Linked DNA regions of Oryctolagus cuniculus. The protein of the gene in region 3 interacts with the protein of the main gene of each other region in a biochemical or structural test. Links are inferred from orthologs where the notes say so. Each region holds a gene or a part of one and is shown on either strand. Other genes may lie near its edges.

Region 1 (7,031 bases), on a different chromosome or scaffold from region 3:
GACACCCAGAGCCCGCCCCTCCTGCCTTCCGTGCCCTCTGCCCCCAGCCCTCCCAGTACGGACGCAGACAGGACAAGCCGAGCAGGATGTCTGCCCATCGATTTTCCTGTTGCCAATTGCACCTGGAGATGACACGCTTGGAGGATGCTTGGTGAATAACACACATTACTCAAATTAGCACATTTGTCTTGCCACTGTGCCTGGTAGGAAAGGCGAAATCACACTGGGCTCCCTCGAGGCACAGCGGGGCGCCGGGTGCAGGGGCCGCAGCCCGGCCTCAGGCCGTGTGCCCCACAAGCCGGCACTCACCCCGCCAGTCTCACTGCAGGTGTAGCAGGGTGGGCACCCCGGCGACTTCTCCAGTGACCCTGGGCCAGGGGGCGCCCAGGCCCCTCCCGGCACTGCCCGCCTGGCTTTCAGCCTGCACGCGATACTGCAGCAGGCACTGCACTGTTTTTTATGGCTTTATTGGGATCATTCAAAACATAAAATCTACCTCGTACACGAGTCCGAGTTCCAGTCGGACAGACAAGCAGCCATCACATGTTGAAGGATAACTGGGCCAGGCTGAAGCCAGGAGCTTCTTCTGGGTCCCCCGTGTGGGTGCTGGGCCCCAGCACCTGGGCCGTCTTCGGCCGCCCCCGGCCACCCCCCGGGCGCACGAGGTAGCCGCGCTGGCTCCAGCCCTGGCTCCAGCTCCTCTTTGCGTCCTGCTTCCCTGTGAGCGCCATCACCGGGCCGGGAGCCGCGCCAGACCCCATGGCAAAGGAATGGACCAGGACCAGGCTGTGGCGGACCCTTCCTGGCACCGTGCCGGGTGGCCCAGGCCGGGTGGGTCACCCACAGACAGGCTAGCGCCACCAGCCCCATGGTACCTGTTCTTACGAAGGGCCTCCGACTCCTACAGCAGAGTGTAGAAATGGAAGAACCATAAACACTCCTGAAAACCATGCCCTGGGGCCGGCTCTGTGGCGCAGCAGGTTGCAAGGACCGGATGGAGCTCCTGGCTCCTGGCTGTGGCCTGGCCCCGCCCTGCCTGCTGTGGCCATTTGGGCGGTGAAAGCGCAGATGGAAGGTCTCTTTTTTTCCTCCAGGTCTCCCACGCGGGTGCAGGGCACAAGCACTCGGCCATCCTCCGCTGCCTTCCCAGGCCACAGCAGAGAGCTGGACCGGAAGTGGAGCAGCCGGGACTGGAACCAGTGCCCATAGGAGATGCCAGCACCGGCGCCCCGCCACACCGCCAGAGGGAGCACGGGCAGCCCCGGGCCCTGGGTGGACAGGACCAGCTGTGGGGGGCGGCGGGAGCAGACGTGGGGAACCCGTGGCCGGGAGCAGGACTGGGGGGGTCTGTGGGGGGGACATAGGGCTGGGGGGGCTGGGTTATCTCACTGACTGCACAGCAGCTCTGCAGGGCTGGCTCTCATCGCCTGTGAGCTGTCGCCTGGCAACGACTGACGGGCTGACTGACGGCGATGACTGCCAGACTGATGGCTGACTGATGGCTGACGGGCTGACTGATGGCTGACAGGCTGACGGCTGGCTGACGGCTGTCTGGTGGCTGGCTGACGGCTGACAGGCTGACGGATGAAGCCACCAGCTTTGCAAGCTCGCATCCTCAGGCCCACAGCCCGCAGCGCAGGCCCAGTCCCCGCCCAGCTTCCCGCGGGCGCCTGCGGGGGGGGGGGCAGGTGCGGCGGGGGCTCCCGCGGCCCAACCCGGGCTGTCGCGAGCCACGAGGGCGCGCGCTCTCCGACTCTGGCGGCAGTAACAGTAATTTTCAAGTATTCCTGCAGGGCGCGGCCCCGCGGTGCCCCGTCCCCGGCCTCTCCTCGTCCTCAGCGGGAAATCGCCAGCCCGCCTCGAGCGCGGCTCGGAGGACCCGCCGTGGCAGAGCGCGGCGACCGGGACGCAGCCGCCCTGAGGCCCGGTGTCCCGCGCGGGGCCCGCACGGCGGGCTCGGGGGAAGCCGCTGGGCTCGCTGTCCACCGCGGAGGGCGCCCGCGCCTCGGCCTCGGGGTCCAGCCGCCCCGGAACCGCCCCTGAGGGAGCCGCGCGCCGTCCACTCTAAGGCTGGAACCTCGGCCAAAGGGCAGCCGCGGGTCCGCACGCCTTTTCCCCGCGCACAGACGCCCACGAGAACGCGCCGCGCCGCGGGAGCGCGTGGAGCTCCGTCAGGGGCGGGCGGGCCTGGGGGTGTGTCCAGAGCCGAGGCGGGCGGGGCCTGCGGCGTTGGGCGGGGCCGGCTGGGGCGGAGTGGGCGGGGCTGCCTGGGGCCGGGCCGTGGTCAGGCTCGGGACCGGACGCTGCCTGCCAGCAGGGGGCGACTGCACAGGCGAGGCCCGCGCCCCCACAGGCCCCCGGCCGTCTGCCGGCCTTGCTGGGCCGCCGGGCCCCTCCCTCGGTCGTGCCGCGGTCACGCCCTGCGCGCCCGGGCTGGAGCACCTACCTGAGCCGCAGGTGCAGTGTCGCCATGTCCTCGCTCGGGGACCAGGTGCGCACCTGGCACCGGGGCGTGCAAGCCGTGGCGCGCGGGGACTGGCCCGGCGCCTTGCGCCTCTTCTCGGAGGTCCCAGGGCCTGCCGCCAGGATGAGCTTCAACGTGGGCTGCGTGCACCTGCTGGCCGGGGACCCCGAGGCTGCGCTGCGGGTGAGCCGGGTCATGGGCGCCCGGGGCTGCTGGCAGAGACCCCGTCCCTGGGGCAGTCTCACGGGGGCGTGGGAGAGGGACGCGAAGCCCTTCTTCCCGGTAGATCCTCTGCAGGCGTCTTCCTGGGGGTGGGGGGCGCCTGAGGCAGGCGGGGGCTGCGCTGAGGGCGGCTGAGGTGTGGGCGTGCTCCCTCCTCGGGTCAGGTGGCCGCGGGCAGACGGGGCAAGAGCTTGGCAGAGGCCGTGATGGGCAGTCGAAGTCCCCCCCCCCCCCCCCGCCAGCACACCTGCCTCTCCAACAGAGCGGGAGCTCAGCCTCGGTGGGGGCGGGGGTGGCAGCCACAGCTGCCCGTGCCCTTCCAGATGTGTCTTGTCCATCACCCCGTGCGTGGACACAGTGGTGACCAAAGCTGGGGCGCCCTGCCGGTGACTCAGGCCCCACTGTCCCCGGGCGGTCACCTGCAGGGGAGGAGGGTTCCAGCCACACGTTCCCCGCACCCACATCCTGCAAATGCCCCGGGGAAACCCGGGCCCGGCCCAGCAGGGACCCCTCTGTCACCCCTTCATCCTCCAGCTGCCCACCCACAAGTCCCACTGACGTGGGCTATCCCGGGGGCAGCAGGCATCCAGGGTGAGTCACCACTTCCCGCAGCCGGGCTCTACCTGGGCCCTGTCGGTTCTCGTCTGCCCTCGTAAAGTTGACTGACAGCCTGTCGTTAGAAACAGGGAAACTGTGAGAAGCGGGTGGCGGCTGTGTGACCCTTGCGTCCCATGCCCTGTGACGCTGGGCGCGGCAGGGGAGCCATGGGCTCAGCCAGCTCTGCTAGAGCGAGACCCCAGCCCCTCCCCCAGCCATGGTCCATATTTAACTGGTGGCTGCTGTCCCCTGGGGGAGCGCAGGCCGTTGCCTGAGATGCGGTGCCCCCTCGGTCCCATGGTGCCCGTGCAGCTGAGTGTGGGCTGTCGAGGGCCCTGGAGGAAGCCCCTTCCAGCTCCTCTCTCCTCGAGGCTTTGGCACCACCTTGGGGCTCCACACTGGGCAGCCGGGGTGTGGCCACAGGGGACCAGCTGTGAAGGCCCCCGGGCAGGTGCAGACGGCTCATGGCCCTCCTGGATTTCTGGGCATGGCTGTGGCATCTGAGACCAGGTTCCAGGCCTCAGCCACGCGCATTCTGTCACCAGGCTTTCGATCAAGCGGTGACCAAGGACGCCTGCCTGGCCGTTGGCTTCCTGCAGCGAGGCGTGGCCAGTTTCCAGCTGAAGAGGTAAGCACAGGGGTCTGGCCCCCCGCCTCTGCTGGTGGCGTCTCTGCCCTCGGGCCTTGCCTCGTCTGCGTCCGCAGGGATGGCGAGGCGGTGCCCGTCTTGTGGGTGTGGCTGGGGCAGGGCTGGAGGAGTGGCCGGTCCTGGAGGAAGCATGTGGGCCCGGGCAGGCCCTGGGGCATCCCCATCTGCTGCCCGGGGCAGGGGGCGGGGCCAGGGTGAGAGGAAGCTCGGAGTTCGGAGGGTGGCGGTTCCAGGAGGCGGAGTCGGGGTGCAGACCGGGCCCCAGGGTGGGAGCCGGGCAGGAACCCGGGACCACACATCCCGCTGCCCGTTCGCGTCACAACCCTCGACCCACTTCACCCCACTGGAGTGTCCACTGAGTGCTGGGGCCCAGGTGACCACGGCCACCCTCCAGCAGGGGCCCAGAGCGGGGGTGGGAGCCCCTGACCCAGCTCACCCTCCCCGGGGACTGCTGAGGGCACACTGCCGCCCGCAGGTTCCAGGAGGCCCTGTCCGACTTCCGGCTGGCCCTGGTGCAGCTCAGGGGCAACCCTACCATTGACTACACGCAGCTGGGCCTGCGGTTCAGGCTGCAGGCCTGGGAGGTGAGCAGGCCTGGGAGGCGTGCTGGCCTGGGAGGTGAGCAGGCCTGGGAGGTACACTGGCCTGGGAGGTGAGCAGGCCTGGGAGGTACACTGGCCTGGGAGGCGGGCTGGCCTGGGAGGTGCGCTGGCCCTGGGCTCGCGGGCTCGTGGCCGCCGCTGTGTGGTGGGGGAAGGTGCTCTGAGGGCCCCCCTGGCCTGAGGCGGGCGCTGCACCCCAGGAGGTGCAGGCAGCAGGCAGGTGCGACCAGGACTGGGTCTGCGGGTAAAGGGCAGGGCCGGGCCAGGGAGCAGGGAGGGGAGGGTGGGGCGGGGCTCCGGGCCCAGCTGCTTCCCGGAACAGCGTGGCACTGAGGGAGGGGACTTGGGAGGACCCTCACCCTCCGGGGAACTCCTGCATTGCAGCCTCTTGGAAAGACAAGGCAAAGCCTGGGGGGTTCTGGAAGCCAGGGCCAGTGCCCACCCAGGGGTGCCCAGAGGTCAGGGTGAGGGCGGCTTGGCCGAGGCCCCCCAGAGCCCTGCTGCAGGTCCCCAGAGGACGCTGGCCACCAAATGGCTGTGGGAGGCCTGCCTGTCACCAGGGCCCCAGTGACCCCGGCTCAGTCCAGCTTGGCCATGAAACTCCCTCCCTGTAGGGCCCAGGGACACACGACCCCTGGGGGCAGGGGCATGGCCATGGGCCAGCTGGTGACATGGCCAGGGGATGTGCCACAGAGTGGCCTCTGGCTCAGCAGGAGAGCGCCCGGGGGGTCCTCCCAGCATGCCCCAGCTGCTCTCAGTTGATCTGCGCCCACAGCACCCATGGGAGCTGGACACCCAGAGCTGCCCTCGTGACAGCAGCTGTGGGCCCTGGTCCCTGACGTCCGCGGACCTCACTCCCAGGTGCTCTACAATGTGGCGGCCGCTCAGAGCCAGCTGGGCCTCTGGAGTGAGGCTGCCAGCAGCCTAAGGGAGGCCGTGTCCAAGTGGCCAGAGGGTGCCCACAGCGGTCTGGACACTGCCTTGGACCAGGTGCAGGTGAGGAGTGTCGGGGAGGGGACGGAGAGGGGAGGGGGCAAGGGAGGAGGGCATGCAGGGGAGAGGAAGAGGGGTGGGTGTGGTGTGCAGGGAAGGGGGCAGGAGGAGGGCAGGTGTGGTGTGCAGGGGAGGGGACAGGAGGAGGGCAGGTGTGTGCAGGGGAGGAGGAGGGACAGGTGTGGTGTGCAGGGTGGGGGAGGAGGGGCAGGTATGGCATGCAGGGGAGGGGAGGAGGAGGGCAGGTGTGGTGTGCAGGGGAGGGCAGGAGGGGCAGGTATGGCATGCAGGGGAGAGGAGGAGGAGGGCAGGTGTGGTGTGCAGGGGAGGGCAGGAGGGACAGGTGTGGTGTGCAGGGGAGGGGACAGGAGGAGGGGCAGGTGTAGCGTGCAGGGGAGGGGAGGAGGGCAGGTGTGATGTGCAGGGGAGAGGAGGAGGAGGGCAGGTGTGGTGTGCAGGGGAGGGGAGGAGGAGGGCAGGTGTGGTGTGCAGGGGAGGGGAGGAGGAGGGCAGGTGTGGTGTGCAGGGGAGGGGAGGAGGGCAGATGTGTGCAGGGGAGGGCAGGAGGGGCAGGTATGGCATGCAGGGGAGGGGAGGAGGAGGGCAGGTGTGGCGTGCAGGGGAGGGGAGGAGGGCAGGTGAGGAGTGAGAAGGAGGGGAAGGGGAGGAGACAGGATGAGGGGAGGGTGCAGGGGAGGAGGGCAGGTGTGGCCTGCGTCAGCTCCACACCCCCCTCGCAGAAGCAGACGCCCCTGCAGCCGAGGCAGGTCCCCAGGGGTGAGGTCTTCCGGCCCCACAGGCGGCACCTGGAGCACCTGGAGCCCGTGGACTTCCTGGGCAAGGCCAAGGTACAGGGGGCAGGCGGCCCTCACGGCACCCGGCCGTCCTCACACCTGCCCCGGGACACACGTGGGCACCCGGCCGTCCTCACACCTGCCCCGGGACACACGTGGACACATGGCCGTCCTCACACCTGCCCCGGGACACACGTGGGCACCTGGCCGTCCTCACACCTGCCCCGGGACACACGTGGGCACCTGGCCGTCCTCACACCTGCCCCGGGACACATGTGGGCACCCGGCCGTCCTCACACCTGCCCTGGGACACATGTGGACATCTGGCCATCTTCATACCTGCCCTGGGACACACGTGGGTACCTAGCTGTCCCCACGCCTGCCCCCAGGACACACGTGGGCACCTGGCTGTTCTTTTACCTGTTCCCAGGGGTTGAGGGCGGGCCCCAAATGTTGGCTGTGAACCTGGAGGGGCCCCTCCTTGCCTCGGCCTGGCCGCGCTCTCCTGGGCCCTGGTGTCTCCCCGTGTCCCCGCCGCACACAGGGAGGTCCCAGCGAGGGCAGAGGCCCTGCCAGCCTGGGCCGCGCCACACCCGTGTTGCCCCAGGCCTGGGTGCCACAGAAGTCACTGGGAGCAGTTGCCCCCCCGCCACAGGGCTCCCCGGGAGCCTTGGGCCTGCTGCGCACGCGGGCCACCTGCCGTGGCATTC
Region 2 (6,972 bases), on a different chromosome or scaffold from region 3:
CCACGTTGTTAGGGAGCAGACGCGGGAGCTAAGCTCGGCCAGAGCCGGACCGGGTTCCGTCCCGGAAGAGGGGGCGGCCCCGCCCCCGCCCCCACCGCGGCCCCGCCCCCGCCCCCGCCCCCGCCCCCACCGCGGCCGAGCCTGTAACTCACGCCAGGTGCAGCGCGGCGCGGAAGTAGTAGCTCCTGCTGAGCGGCCCCAGGAGCTTCAGCACGGCCGTCAGGTAGCGCTGTCCACTGCGGGTGGACACCGGCTCAGGACGCGCCCCGCCCCCGCAGGGGAGCCGCCCCCGCCCCGCCCCGCCCACTCACCATCGCTCCAGGGTGGAGCCCTTGGCCCTGCTGCCCCGCGGGTACTCCAGCAGGCAGACCAGCACCCCCGCCGCGCTGGGTCACCGTTAAGGAGCTGCGGGTGCCAGGCAGGAGGCGGGCGTGGCCTCTGACCCCTGCCCCGCCCCCCACCGCGCGGTCCGCACAAGGATACATGGCGTAGGTCCCGAAGTACCACTGGGTGAAGCGCCCTGCCGTGGCCACGATGCCTCCCGCGACGAGGACTGCGGGATTGGGGGGGAGGGTTAGGAGGCTCCCACCGCGGCCCGTCGCGCCCCTGCCCTCCTGCACCCGCGGTGGGCGCCTCCCTGGAGCCCAGGCCGCAGGCCCCGGGTGGACCCCGGCCCTGCTCTGCCTGGCTCGCTGCCCTGGGCTTAGAGGTCGCGCGGATCCCGGATGCCCTCCGGGTTTCCGCTTTGTCCCATGCTGGTGGTCCCTGCCCTGGATCCTGGGTGGGGGTCAGCTGCTCCAACCCCTCGCTCGCTCCCGGCTCGGGTGGCTCTGCGGGGTCTCCTGGGAGCAGCACACGTGTGCACGCCTCCCGCCGGGACTCACGGCACAGATGCGTGGAGCTGAGGTGCACGTGACACGGCATCCGTGGTGGCTCCTGTGAGGGCACTGAGGCCGCGCGGCCGTCACCGCCCCCTCCCAGAACTCCCAGAACTCCCGCAGGCATCCGTGAACATGAGCACGACCCGTGAATGTCAGCGTGACCACGGCACACGTGTGTGCACCCCGTGTCGGCACTCGGCGGCCCCGCTTCTGATCCAGCCTCCTGCTCACGGCCTGGGAAAGCCGGCCCGGGGCTCGGCCCCTGTGCCCACGGGGAGACCGGATGGAGGCTGGGTTCTTCAGCCTGGCCCAGCCCTGGCTGCTCAGGCTGCGGGGCAGTGAGCTGGGGATGGGAGAGCTCTCTGTCACTCTGCCTTTGAAATAATTTTTAAGATTTATTTATCTGAAAGGCAGGGACAGAGCGAGCTGCCATCGCCCGTTCACTCCCCACATGGCTGCCAGCGGCCGGAGCTGCGCTGATCCAGAACCAGCAGCTTGATCCGAGTCTCCCACATGGGTGCAGGGGCCCAAGCACTTGGTCCGTCCTCCGCTGCCTTCCCAGGAGTAGCAGGGAGCTGGATCAGAAGTGGGGCAGCCGAGTCTCGAACCAGCGCCCACATGGGAGCAGGAGCTGCAGGCTGGGGCTTCCCCCGCTGAGCCACAGCGCCGGTGCCTAAATTTCTTTTTAAAGTCACCCTGTCCTCTCAGTGCTCTGGGGCCCTGGACCATGTCTGCTCCTCTGGCTGCGTGGAGCCGGGGTGCCCCTCGCCCCGGCAGCTCGTTCTGGCACCCTCGATGCTCCGTGTCCATCTCCACATCTGGACGCCGCTGGCACGGGGCTGGCGCAGCCGGGCGGAGGCGGCGAGTGGCACGTTCGTGCTCGGTGACCTCATTCTCTGACAGCGTCGGCGTCCTGGCCCTGTCCTCGCTCCGTGTGGCCATTCCTGGTTCTGCTTTGGTGCTGTCCTCATCAGACAGAAGCCGGCGCTCGGCACCTGGAGCTCCCCGCAGCCCCGGCCAGAGCGGCAGTGCCCGCTGTGCGCACGCGATCGGCCCCTGGCGCTCACTGCTGGCTCCGTCCCGCGAGTGTCCTTCCCGCTGTCCAGGCAGCTGGGGCCCAGTGGGGTCTCCCACGTTGAGACCGGTGCTGCGAGCAGCGTGCCTGCCCCTGGGCTCACCTGGCCGACCCTCTAGGGGCCAGAGTGTCCGTTGCCCCGCTGCCTGCCCACCCGTCAGGCGACACGACCCCGCGATGTCACAGCCCCTCCGGAGCCGACCTCGGTGTCCACCTCCACCACCCCGCCCCCAGCCAACAGCCTCTTCCTCCCCACAACCCCCGCTTCCCTGGGGTCCCCTTCCGCCTGGCTGGGGCGTGGCCTCCTGTGCGGGCAGTGGGTGTGGTGGCCACGTGGCCCGTGGGTCCTGCACTCGGGAGCGGCCTTGGCTGTGTGTGGGCGCCTGCTGCGGTGCTGGGAAGCTCACTGGCCACCGAGTGTTCCGGATGTGCTGCCGTGGCCTGCGGCCCGCGTGTCCACGCGGAGGACGCCGGCTCATCCTTGTCACCCTCGGCCGTGTGCCTGGAGCTGTCGCCACGCGTGTGGCGGTGCCTGCGCTGTGCCCGCGTCCACGCTGTGAGGCTCCCAGCTCAGCTCATCCACTGCGTTTTCCTCGCTTTGTTGCTTTTGGTTTTGAAAAATTTATTTTCATTTTATTTGGAAGAAAGAGGTCTTCTGTCTGCTGGTTCACTCCCCAGATGCCCGCCATGGCCAGGGCTGGGCCAGATCAAGCCAGGAGCTTCTTGCGGGTCTCCCACACGGGTGCAGGGGCCGGGCCTCTGGGGCCGCCTTCGGCTGCTTTCCAGGCCACAGCAGGGAGCTGGGTGGGAAGTGGAGCGGCCGGGCTACCCGCCAAGGGCTCTCCTTCACTGCACCTGTGGCCAGGCAGACCCCCCACCCCCACGTCCCTCCGCTCTGGAGGTGTCTTAAACACGCTCCGCCCCTGCACACGCGTGCGGCCCTGTGCATGGCGTGGGCCGGCTGTGCCCTGCCGAGTCCTCTGTGAGGCCTGTCGGGGCGGTGCTCACCGGTCCTCAGGCCCACACGTGGCGTGGCCGAGGGCTGGGGTCTGTGCTGGCCGGAGACCCCCGAGCTGCCCTCCTGGTCTGACTCCAGCATCCTGCCCGAAGCCCGGCCTCGGCTGAGGCCCTGGACGCCCGCTGCCTAAGCGCCCGTCCCCGAGGGCAGCCCCAGGCCCGGGCTGCGTTCTCCCCCCAGGTCTCCCCGCTTTTGTTGGTGCAGACTTCCTGAGCCGGGTCCGAGCTCGGCTACATATTAACTTTCTTGGTGCGCATTGGAGCGTGTGCTGGGGAGGAGGGCAGCTTCCCCATGCGGTCACCCAGTCGCCCGGTGTGGCTGACTCATCTCCAGGGCGGAACGTCCCCTTTCGGGGCCTCCTGTCTATCCGCCACGGGGCAGAGCCGCTGGCTGCACCTGCAGCCCTGAGCTAACCCAGTTCCAGCAGTGACCGGAGGCACCGCCGTGGGCTGGCGGGGGCTCGTGGTCTCGCGTGGGGAGACTAAAGCCAGCGCCGAGGCTGTGGGCTGGCGCAGAGTGGGGCACAGGGGACAGCAGTGGGGCCTGGGAGCAGGGGACGTGGGCAGAGGAAGCGGTTTCCTGGCGGGGTCCCCGTGCCGCTGGTGAGGAGGGAGGCAGGGGCTGGCGCGGCCAGAGCTGCTCCGTCCCTGGTGGTCGTCCCCGTGCGGGCTGCCGACGGCCCGGACAGCCCCAGGAGGAGCAGGGCAGGAGGCCTGGGAGACGTGCCGGCAGGTGTCCCGCTGACCCCTCGTGACCTCTCTGGCCTGGATGGGAGTGGGCGCCTGTGGTCGCTGCTCCTCTAACAGGCATCGGAACCAAGCCCCCCCCCCCCCGCTGTCTGCCTCCTGGGGGCGTCCTGGGAGGGAACAGGGGGTCTGGCACAGAGCAGGGGCAGTGGGTGAGGGTCCCGTGGGGCCTCCCTACACTGACCTGCCATGTTCTCAGCCATGGGGATTAACAGGAGGCCGTGGGCGCCTGCCCCACAGCCTGTTCAGGGTGTGGCCCTCCAAGCTCACTGTCCCCAGTGCACAGGGCATGGCCCTGAGCTGGGACCCTTCCCACCCCCCCACATGCTCCCTCCCGAGGGTCAGGTCGGGTCGCAGCTGAGCTGGGCGGTTCCTGGGGGCTGGGCCTGCACGGGTTGGGAGCTCTCCCAGTACCCGGCCCCAGGCCCCTGGTAAAGCAAACCGGGCAGCACGGCGCTCTGGGCGGGTCACCGTCGCCTAGCCCTAACCCCGCTGACCCTGCCGGGCACCCGGTGCAGGGGTCGTGCCGCTGGGGACCCCTGCCCGGCTCCGCCTCGGGACCCTCCCCCGTGACCCCGCATCGTCGTCCCTGGGAGTTTCCCAGCCAGGCGGGGCGGCGGCTCCCGGAACCACCGGGCGCAGCAACACTTCCGCAGGCAGCTTCCTCCTCCGCGGGGCGGGGGCGGGGGCGCCGTGCTCCCCCTGCTCCCGGGCCGCAGCGACCCCCGCCCCACCCCACGATCTCCGCCCGCCCACACCATCAGGATCTCGGCCCGGGCCCAGCGGCCGGGCTCGCACTCACTCAGGCCGGACGCCAGCGCCTGCTCGTTAGCCCACATGGCCCACTCGATCTGCCCCATGGCGGTCGCCAAGGCTCACTGAGGCCCGCGCCGCCGCCGCCGCCGCCCGCCGCCGCCGGGTCGGCCCCGCCCCGCCCTCCGCCCCGCCCCCGCCCCGCCCCCCGGGCCGACCTCCCGGGCCGCAGCTGGGCCGCCTGCGGACGGCTCCCTGCCCCAGGCCCCCCCCCAGCTGTGCCCCTGCCCCCAGCTCCTCTGCCCATCCCGCGTGTGGCCCGGGGCTCCCAGGGAGCCGGCCTGTGCCGCCCCAGGACAGGGCAGCGCCCCCACACGGCGGGGACCAGGGGTCCCAGCACCGCTTCCTCCCCGCCCTGGGCTGCCGGGCTCCCTCCCTGGGGAGGCGGATGTGCCCCTGGCCCTGGACACGCCCAGCAGCAGGGGCCACAGCCCTGGGTGAGGCGGGCGGCCGAGCAGGTAGACCCCGCCCTGACGGACACCACCCCACCCCCGCCCTGAGCACTGGGCGGGACCCTCATCGCCCTCCAAGCCGAGGGCTGTCCACGGGGCAGGCCTGCTGGGGCTGTCGGGAAGGCGTGCGGGGCAGGCGGTCAGCGATGCTGGCTTTATTCCGGGGCGGTCACCACAGCTCCACCTGACACACGCCCCGCCCGCAGCCCCGCCGGCTGGCGAAGGGCCAGTCCACCTGCACCGGGCCAGCGTCCAGGGCCGGGCTGCAGGCCCAGCACGAGCGGTGCTGCGGCTTGAGGGGCAGCCCCGGCCCCTCCGCCCAGACGCCACGCAGCTGCAGGGGGCCGCTGACGCGCCCGTCACGCTAGGGGGGTCCGGTCACGCAGCGGGCCTCGGCAGGCCGTCGGAGCCCAGGAGGTGCGCGTCGGGGTCCCGCAGGACCTGAGGCCCCGGCCCCACCTGAGGGAGGGAGGGAGGGCGGAGGTCGGAGGCCGCAGGCAGGGGACCAGGTGCAGGCCCCACCTCCCGAGTCGACCAGGAGCCGAGCCCCCGCTGCCCGCTGCCCGCTGCCCGCTGCCGGGCGCCTGGCTCGGGTCAGCACTGCGCACGGGTCTCGCAGCCCTGAGCAGGGGGCGTGGCACTGGCCAGTCTGGGCAGGCTCGGGGTGGACCCCGCCGCAGCCCCGCCCACTCAGTCCCACCCCCACCCAATGACGTCACGCAGAGGGCCGGGCCTCACCTGGGTGGAGATGATGTACTTGATGCCACCGGGCGTGGGCTCCAGGGCCAGCGCCGCCTTGAGGTCGTCTGGGAGAAGTGCAGGCGCCACCTGCAGGCCCTTCACGAACCTGGGAGACAAGGCGGGCACACGCGTGTGCGGCCACACGGCAGCGCAGGAACATACGCGTGTGCAGGTCTACACAGGGCAGCGCAGGAACACACGCGTGTGCAGCCACACACACAGGCAGCATCCATTCAGGCAAGTCCTTGGAGGCACAGCGGCCGGGATGGGGATGGGAGCCCCACGGCCCCTCCGTGGCTGACACGGTCAGCCCTCGGCCCACTCTACCAAGACACAAGGCAGAGCTCGCCAGGGCCTGGCCAGGGTCCCCTAGGGGAGGGTCTCAGAAACCAGGAGGCTCTGGCTCGCTCCTGGCCCCTCGGGGCAGCACGGGTGAGCAGGTGCGAGTGGGCGGAGCTTCCACGGGGGGTGTCTGGTGCGGCCCGCGGCTGTCCCGGCCGGCCGGGCCGGGTGGCGTTCTCGGCCCCCACACACCTGGGCCTTCCCCAGCCCCCGGCGTGCGCTCACACACAGCACAGGTGGTGGTCCCAGCGCCAGGGCTCTGCCACGCCCTCCGATTGATTGCTGGCGCGTGTCCTAACACGAGGAAGCACGGGGTCGGGCACATGGGGCCGGGGCGGCGGGGGCCTAGGGCGGGGCCGCACGGGCCCTGTCCCCCAGTAGCATGGGGATGAGGCTGGGGCGGTGGGGACTGCATGGACCCTGTTCCCCACAGCATGGGGCTGGAGCCGCACGGACCCCGTCCCCGATGGGATGGGGCTGGAGCCACACGGACCCCGTCCCCGATGGCATGGGGCTGTGGCCGCGGGGGCGCAGGATGGGGGCCGCACGGACCCGTCCCCGATGGCATGGGGCTGTGGCCGCGGGGGCCCAGGATGGGGGCCGCACGGACCCTGTCCCCCACAGGATGGGACTGGGGTCCACTCACTTGTCGCCATTTGACTCGGGGGGGAAGCTGTGCCTCACGGCAGCCACAAACTCGGCCACGGTGTCCTCCAGTGTGAAGACCACGGCGTTGGGGCCAGCATCAAACGTGTACGCCACCTGCGAGCCACGGGGTCACCGGGTTACTCACACGGCCCCGCAGGGCTCAGCCTGCTCTCCCTGAGGAGGGCCTCTGGTGGGCCCGAAGGGTCGCCGCAGCCACGCCCCCCGCACCTGGGTCCGCCGCGGCCACGCCCCCCCG
Region 3 (7,148 bases):
TTCGAGACCCGGCTGCTCTACTTCCTGTCCAGCTCTCTGCTGTGGCCTGGGAAAGCAGTGGAAGATGGCCCAAGTGCTTGGGCCCCTGCACCCACATGGGGGACCCAGAGGAAGCTCCTGGCTCCTGGCTTTGGATCAGCACAGCTCTGGCCATTGCTGCCAATTGGAGAGTGAACCATCGGATGGAAGACTCACTCTCCCTCCCTCCCTCCCCCGCCCCCCCCCCCCCCCCCCCCGTGTAACTGACTTTCAAGTAAAATAAATAAATCTTTTTTAAAAAAATCCTACCAGTGCTCCCCAGGGACAGGGCCCCCTCCTGGCCCGGGCTCAGGGCCACCTCTTCCAGGTAGGGAGCTGGAAACCAGGCTGTTTGCTGGTCCTCATTCGCCACCAGCCACCAGCCTGTGAACAAGAGGCAGGAGGGCGTCAGATCTCGGCCCACCGGGGTCCAGGGCAGCAAGGCCAGCGCCCTGACTGCTGGGGCCACTACCTGAGGGGTGTCGCAGCAGCACGTCCAGGCTGTCCTGGGCCCGCGCCTGGAAGGGCCTGCCCCGGGTGTCCTGGGTGTGGAAGGGCTGCAGGCAGTGCAGCCGCTGAACCTCCAGGCTGTGGATGGCAAGGCTGCCTGCGGGACGCGGCCTGGGCTCCTCGGGGGCCGGCAGGATCACCAGGCTGGCAAGGAGGGAGCCGGTGAGGGGGTGGGGACGGGCCCGCCACGCCCACAAGCCCACCGGTGGCTCCTCTTCCTCCACTAAGCCTCCCCCAGCGTCCGTAGGCCTCAGGGAGTTGGGTCCAGCACCTGCCAGGCGGCAACGAGGGCTCCAGGTCCAGGGGTTGTGGCGCAAAGAAGCCGGTGAGCGCTGGGCTCTGTGACACCCGCTCTGCGGCCGCCAGCAGCGTCCGGGTGTAGGTCTCCAGCAGCCGGAGGCGCGCCAGCCCGCGGCCAGTGCGTCCCCCTCTTGCTAACAGCGGTGCATCTGCAGGCACCAAGAGGATGCACTGTGGGGCCCACCCCAGGTCTTCCTGGCCCAAAAGCCTTTCCCCGCCCCACCCAGGACCCCAGGCCTGACCAGGAAGCTTGGGGAGAACACGGTCGCACTTCCGAAGCAGGCCCGCCTCCACCGGGAAGGTCTCCCTGAGGGTCTTCTGAGGACGAGAAGCGGGGTGTCTGTCCAGCTGCCCGGCCTCCAGGCAGGGCGTGGACCCCTCCCCAGGGTGACAGGGACGGGAAATCCAGGTGGAGGGTGAGGGAGGGAGACCCCATCAGGGTCGCTCACCTGGAGCCGCCTGAATTCATCCCAGCTCCTGCGCACCAAAGTGTCGCTGCCATCTGACCAGCGCACGGAGAAGGCAAACGTCTACGGGGGGTGGGGGGTGGTAGGGGGAGGTTGGGTGTGCCTGGGGCCCGGGCCAGGGGCATCCACTTACAAAGCCCTCGGGCTGGTAGGGGCGGGTCATACCTGGAGCCGCTCCATCTGCACCAAGGCTGCTGCGCGCACTGACACCGGGTGCCGGGGGACTGCCATGCCCGTGGCCGGCACGACTCAGGATGCTGGGGCAGGCAGGCAGCGGCTGAGGCTTCTGCGCTGCCAGCCGGAAGACTGGCCGAGTGGAATTCCCCGCGGACGCCCCAAGCCAAGTCCCCGGGAAGCCGCCCCGCCCCTGGGCCTTCTTCCGCGACCTGCAGGAGCCCGGCTGCGCAGGGCCAGGGGCCAGAGGCAGAGCTGGTGGAGAGAGGATGAGTCGCCCACCTGGAAGGGCCAGGCTGGGACTGCACCCGCCCAGGGCCCTCCCGAGTCTGGCCTTGGGCAGGGGGAGGAGAAGGAAGGGCTGTCTGAGGCCCACCTATCTGGGCTCACACACCCTGGGTAACCCTCCCCAGGGTGTGCCAACAGCTCCGGCTGTGAACTCACTGGCTGGACTCGGCAATTGCCGTCCAGAACCAATCGTTCAGTGCAACAGGGCTCTGGTGCTCCCTCTGGCTTAATCCTGGTGCCGAAGGAAGGACTTTGTGCCACCAAGTCGGAGCAGGAAGGTTGTGCTAAGTGAATACTCATGGGCTCACCCCAGGGGTTCACCCACAGTGGGGAGGCTGCATCTCCACAGTCCCTGTGGCCAGTGGCACTTGGGGGTGGTCACTGGGAATTCATGGTCTGTCACAGCTTCCGGCAAACCCACCTCTGGCATCAGGAGTGACCCCTTGCCCCTTCAGCCAGGGTCGGGGAGGGAGGCCCTGCACTGGCTGGACAGGGGGCTCACCCAGGGGCCCTACCTCTCTAGGCTGCGGCTTCCTTGTCCAAGCCACATCTAACCCTTGTGCCAGGTGCTTGTTCCTGGTGCCGTGTCAAGGTTGCCCCCCACCCCCCCAGGCCTCCAGGAAGCTGCCCTGCCTCAACAAAGATCCTTTGTGTGTCTGTCCCACCGGTTGCTCTCTAAAGCTGTCTGACCTTGCCGGTGCCAGCCCAGGCAGCCGAGGGGGCCCCAGGAGAGAAGCTGGAGGGAGGCCAGGTTTAATCAGATGGGGCTGGGAAGGATCCGGAGGCCCCCTGCGCCCACGCTGGCTCCACCCAGCTTCCGCTCTCTGGACCCCTACTCTGTTCCCTCACAGTTCAACTCCAGCCGTCACCCACCCCCATCCCTGGGGGGTTTGCTGGCCCCTGTGAAAGCCACTCTCCACGTCACCGCCAGGGGTAGCTTCACAAAACAGACATGGGATCAGGTCAGGGAGGCTGTGCCGGCCCCTGAAGGGCACCCCTAGTCCCCACCCCGCCCCCGTTCTGTGCTGTCCATGTCCCCCGGCCCTGGGCTCCCAGACCCTCCCTCTCTGCCTGCGGTCACCCGGCCCTGCGTGGGCCCTACCACTGCTTGTAGGAACACTGACAGGTGTGGCTTTGGTTTGTCACTGTGCTGAACACCGCACGGAGTGACGGTCAGGGGCACTTTTGCTTCTTGTCCGGCCCGGTGCCGGGAACAGAGCGCGGCCCGGACATCCACGGAAGGACCGCGGGGAGGCGGGCGCCCCGTTGCCAGGGCGCCGGTCGCCGGGGAGGGACCGCGGCCCCGGGGTCCCAGGGAACGCTCTGTGCGGTCACGCCGGCCCCGCGCCGCACGCGCCGTTGCCAAGGCCCCGGGGGGCCAGCCTCGGGCGCGCCCCCCGCTGCGGGCACAGAGCCCGGCCGCGGGCACGCAGGAAGGTGCCAGCGGAGCGATGGGGGCGTCGCGGGCCGCCACCCGCACTGCGACCCAGCCTCAGCCCGAGTCCGCCGCGCGGCCGCGGCGCACCTTCCACAACACGCTGCTCTTCTACTGGAGGAAGCGCGAGCGCCGCCACGGACGGCGCCCGGCGAGCGCGGCGGGCCGGGGGGCGAGGCCCAGGGGCACCCGCAGCGCCCGGGCCTCCGGCGCCGCCCCCGCGCCGGCCCGGGCCCCCGGCCCGGCCCCCGCCGAGGCCCGGCCCTCCAGCCCCGCCGCGGCCAGCGCCCCGGCCTCCGGCCCCGCCCCGCCCCGGGCCCGGACCCCGGCCGCCGGCCCCGCCTCCGCGCCGGGCCCCGCCCCGGACCCCGGCCCGGCCCCGCCCCCCGCGCCCGCGGCGCGCGCCCCCGGCTCCTGCGGCCGCGCGCTGGCGGCGGCGCGCGCGCTGGCCTGGAGGCCGACCTGGAGGCCCCTCTGGCGGCCGAGCTGGCCCGGCAGGCGCTGCGCGGGCAAGATGGCGGCGCCCGGGGAGCCGGGGCGCTCGTACCGCGGGAGCCTCTTCTCCTTCCTGCCGGGCGGCGCGCGCCCCGAGGTGATGGACGACCTGGCGACGGACGCGCGGGGCCGGGGCGCGGGGCGGAGGGACGCCGCGGGCACTGCCGCCGCAGGCCAGCCGCCGGCCCCGGCCCCGCAGCGCGCCGAGGACGCCGCGCAGAGGCGGCCCTGCCGGGCCTGCGTGGACTTCAAGGCGTGGATGCGAACGCAGCAGAAGGTGCCGGCGCCCGCCCGACCTCCCCGCCCTTGGCTTCCGCGCGCCTCGGCCGCCCCGCTCAGCCGCGCGCGGGCCGGAAGCGCCGCAGGACCTGTGTGCAGAGCTGGGGCGGAGGAAGGGGGTGGCCGGTGGGCCTCCGTGTCGGGGAGCGCTAACTGACCCTTAGTCGGCCTACTTCTGCAGCGGGACACGAAGCTTAGAGAGGATTGTCCACAGGACCGCGAGGAGCTGGGCCGCCACAGCTGGGCGCTGCTGCACACCCTGGCCGCCTACTACCCGGACCTGCCCACCCCGGAGCAGCAGCAGGACATGGCCCAGTTCATCCATTTGTTCTCCAAGTTTTATCCGTGTGAGGAGTGTGCGGAAGACATCAGAAAGAGGTGAGCCGCGCTCGCCCGTGGAGCCGGGGCCCGCACTGCCTGCTGATGTCACAGAGCGGGGCAGAGACCATGGCCGCCCGGGCTCTGCGGCTCGCCCCGGAGGGCCGGCTGCCCTTTGCCCTAGGACTGGGGGCAGGCTAGGGAGAGCTGCACTTTGCCCGACTGTCGATGCTGATTGCTCTTTTTATTATTTGAAACAAACAAACAGAGAGAGACAGGTCTTCCATTTGCTGGTTCACTCTTCATGGCTTCAGCTGCCCGCGCTGGGCCAAGCTGGAGCCAGGAACTTCATCCCAGCCTCCCATGGGGGTGCAGGGGCCCGGGCACTTGGGTCGTTCTCCGCTGCTGTTCCCAGGGAGCTGGAGCAGAAGTGGAGCGCCCAGGACTGGGCCAGCGCCCACGTGGGATGCTGGCGTTGCAGGCCGTGGCTTAGGCCTTGCGCCCTGCCGGCCCCCGATTGCTGGTTTGAAAGCCTGGGAACCCACTGCTTTTCCTCACTGAGATGCCCGGGAGCTGTGTTAGGCATCTCCGGGCCGGACGTGTGGGGGCAGCCACGACAGTTAGAACCAGGCAGCCCTGGCTTGACTGGTTCACCAAGGCCTCCCTGGGGTGCTAAGGAGCGGTCCGCTCTGTGCCGGCTCCGCCCCGGCTGCACCTGCCTGGGGCCAGGGGCACAGGTGAGTGTTCCTGATTTCACGAGACTGTAAAGTGGCTGCCTCGTGCCCCGGTGCCTTGCCCTGGGCTCTGCAGGGTCCACCCTGGGGAACGCCCATCTCCGGACGCAGGAGGACGCCCCCCGGTGCCGCTGGCTGCAGTGCCTCTCTCTCCTCCCGCGGCGAGGCGCCGGCAGGGCCGGGGCCACCTCCCCCTTTTGTGTCGCCCCTACTCAGGATCCACAGGAACCAGCCGGACACCCGCACCCGCGCGTGCCTCAGCCAGTGGCTGTGCCGCCTGCACAACGAGGTGAACCGCAAGCTGGGCAAGCCCGAGTTTGACTGCTCACAAGTGGACGAGCGCTGGCGCGACGGCTGGAGGGACGGCTCCTGCGACTAGAGGGGCGGCCGCGGCAGAGGGGCGGGCCGCTCATTAAAGTGCGTCAGAGCCACAGCTGTCGCGTCTTCGTTGGGTGGTCCCAGGACACTGCCCTTCCGAAAGGAAGCTGCCCCCTGCGGGCACTCCAGCAGCCGGCCTCCTCTTCAGCGGGGGGCCTGGGCAGGGGTGTGCAGGGGAGGGAGGCAGGAAGGAGCGTCTCGTCGTCCAGGATGGCAGCCCGCGAGAGGCCGGGGCTCCCTCTTCCTGCCCCGTGAGGCCCGGCTGTGCCTCTCCCTGAGCAGTGCCGTGGCCCCAGTGGCTCTGTGCCGTTGCCACTTGGGGAGTGAGGCCTGGGCCTGAGTACTCCGTTGGGCCCAGCCCCATGGGGAAGTCTGGGGCGGAGTTTTTCCTGAGGTCGCCCAGCGTGCTGCCACGCCCCGCCTGGCACGGGCCCTCTGAAGGTGTGCCAGGACGGTGCCGGGCTCAGAGACCAGAATAAAGTGCTGGACAAGAGACTTGGACCTGGTTCTGGTGTGCTTTGTGCTCAGCTCTGCCCTCCTGTCTGGGGTCTGACCCCGCAGGGGCATGGAGAGGATGCCCGTGCAGGCGGCCACCGTGTTGCCGTGGCCTGGGTGTTCCAGTAGACAGGGAGGCCGATGGCTGCAGCGGAAGGGTCCGCTCTAACGGGGAGGGAGCGGGGCGTGCAGGGTTCAAGACCCCAGCAGATGTGGCTTTCACTCCCGGCTTCGGCAACAGGCAGCCAAGGTCTGGAGCCAAGGAGTGGCGTGGAGCGATGTGACCCAGGTGGCTGAGGTGGCCCCCAGCAGCACGCAAGGAACATAGACATGCTTATTTATTTAGCGTTTAATGATTTGTTTATTTGAAATGCAGAGTTACAGAGGAAGAGACAGAAATCTTCCATCCACTGGTTCACTTTCCAGGTGGCTGTAACAGCTGGGGGCTAGACCAGGCTGAAGCCAGGAACCTGGAGCTCCATCCGGGTCTCCCACACGGATGCAGGGCCCAAGCACTTGGGCCATCGTCTGCTGCTTTCCCAGGCCATTAGCAGGGAGTTAGACGCAGAGCAGCCAGGACTCGAACCGGCACTCATGTGGGATGCCGGCATCTCAGGTGGTAGCTTAACCCTCTTATCACAATGCTGGCCCCTCGTTTAAGGTTTATTTATTTGAAAGAGTGACACATGGGAGAGACAGTGATCTTCCATCTACTGATTCATTCCCCAAATGACCACAACAGTTGAGCCTGGGGCAGGCCAAAGCCAGGGGCTGGAACTCCATCTGGGCTCCCATGTGAGCCATCATCCACTGCTTCCCGGGAGGTTAGCTGGATCAGAAGTGAGTAGCTGAGGCCGGCACTGTGGCAGAGTGGGTCCCGGCTGCTCGACTTCCAATCCAGCTCTCTGCTGTGGCCTGGGAAGCAGTGGAGGATGGCCCAAGTCCTCGGGCCCCTGCATCTGTGTGGGAGACCCGGAAGCTCCTCACCTGGCTTTGGGTCGGCCTAGCTCCAGCTGTTGTGGCCATTTGGGGAGTGAACCAGCACATGGAAGACTTCTCTTTCTGTCTGTCTCTGCCTTTCAAATAAATTAAAAAAAAAAAAAAAAAAAATGGAGTAGCTGGGACTCAAACTGGTTCTGTTATGGGATTATGGCATCGCAGGGGGCTGCTGTACCTTAACCTGGCCCTTGATTTATTTTTCTCTCTACAAGACAGAGGGGGCTGGCACTGTGGCACAATGGGTTAAGCCACTGCTGT

Evidence for each region.
Region 1: the proteins of NOXO1 (region 3) and NOXA1 form a complex in vitro, tested with the Homo sapiens proteins (2 studies listed by IntAct). The link is inferred for Oryctolagus cuniculus from reciprocal best matches to the Homo sapiens genes NOXO1 and NOXA1.
Region 2: the proteins of NOXO1 (region 3) and CYBA form a complex in vitro, tested with the Homo sapiens proteins (3 studies listed by IntAct). The link is inferred for Oryctolagus cuniculus from reciprocal best matches to the Homo sapiens genes NOXO1 and CYBA.

Annotation. Positions count from the first base shown.
Region 1 is NC_091432.1:237,590,057-237,597,087, forward strand, and holds the start of NOXA1 (NADPH oxidase activator 1), read left to right. Parts: upstream 1-2,385; 5' UTR 2,386-2,470; coding exon 2,471-2,647; intron 2,648-3,828; coding exon 3,829-3,911; intron 3,912-4,407; coding exon 4,408-4,516; intron 4,517-5,395; coding exon 5,396-5,530; intron 5,531-6,267; coding exon 6,268-6,375; intron 6,376-7,031.
Region 2 is NC_091449.1:68,679,624-68,686,595, forward strand, and holds the start of CYBA (cytochrome b-245 light chain), read right to left. Parts: upstream 4,647-6,972; 5' UTR 4,581-4,646; coding exon 4,523-4,580; intron 554-4,522; coding exon 484-553; intron 387-483; coding exon 312-386; intron 237-311; coding exon 153-236; intron 1-152. Other genes in the region: MVD (diphosphomevalonate decarboxylase), read right to left, coding at 5,364-5,444, 5,724-5,832, 6,715-6,830. UniProt on the Homo sapiens protein: Subunit of NADPH oxidase complexes that is required for the NADPH oxidase activity that generates, in various cell types, superoxide from molecular oxygen utilizing NADPH as an electron donor.
Region 3 is NC_091450.1:33,242,619-33,249,766, reverse strand, and holds the start of NOXO1 (NADPH oxidase organizer 1), read right to left. Parts: upstream 4,148-7,148; 5' UTR 4,125-4,147; intron 3,965-4,124; coding exon of another isoform or gene 3,707-3,964; exon of another isoform or gene 3,655-3,706; intron 3,070-3,654; exon of another isoform or gene 2,860-3,069; intron 2,762-2,859; exon of another isoform or gene 2,273-2,761; intron 1,725-2,272; 5' UTR 1,527-1,724; coding exon 1,461-1,526; intron 1,359-1,460; coding exon 1,278-1,358; intron 1,147-1,277; coding exon 1,071-1,146; intron 978-1,070; coding exon 800-977; intron 673-799; coding exon 491-672; intron 403-490; coding exon 289-402; intron 1-288. Other genes in the region: GFER (FAD-linked sulfhydryl oxidase ALR), read left to right, coding at 3,707-3,964, 4,148-4,344, 5,235-5,397. UniProt on the Homo sapiens protein: Constitutively potentiates the superoxide-generating activity of NOX1 and NOX3 and is required for the biogenesis of otoconia/otolith, which are crystalline structures of the inner ear involved in the perception of gravity.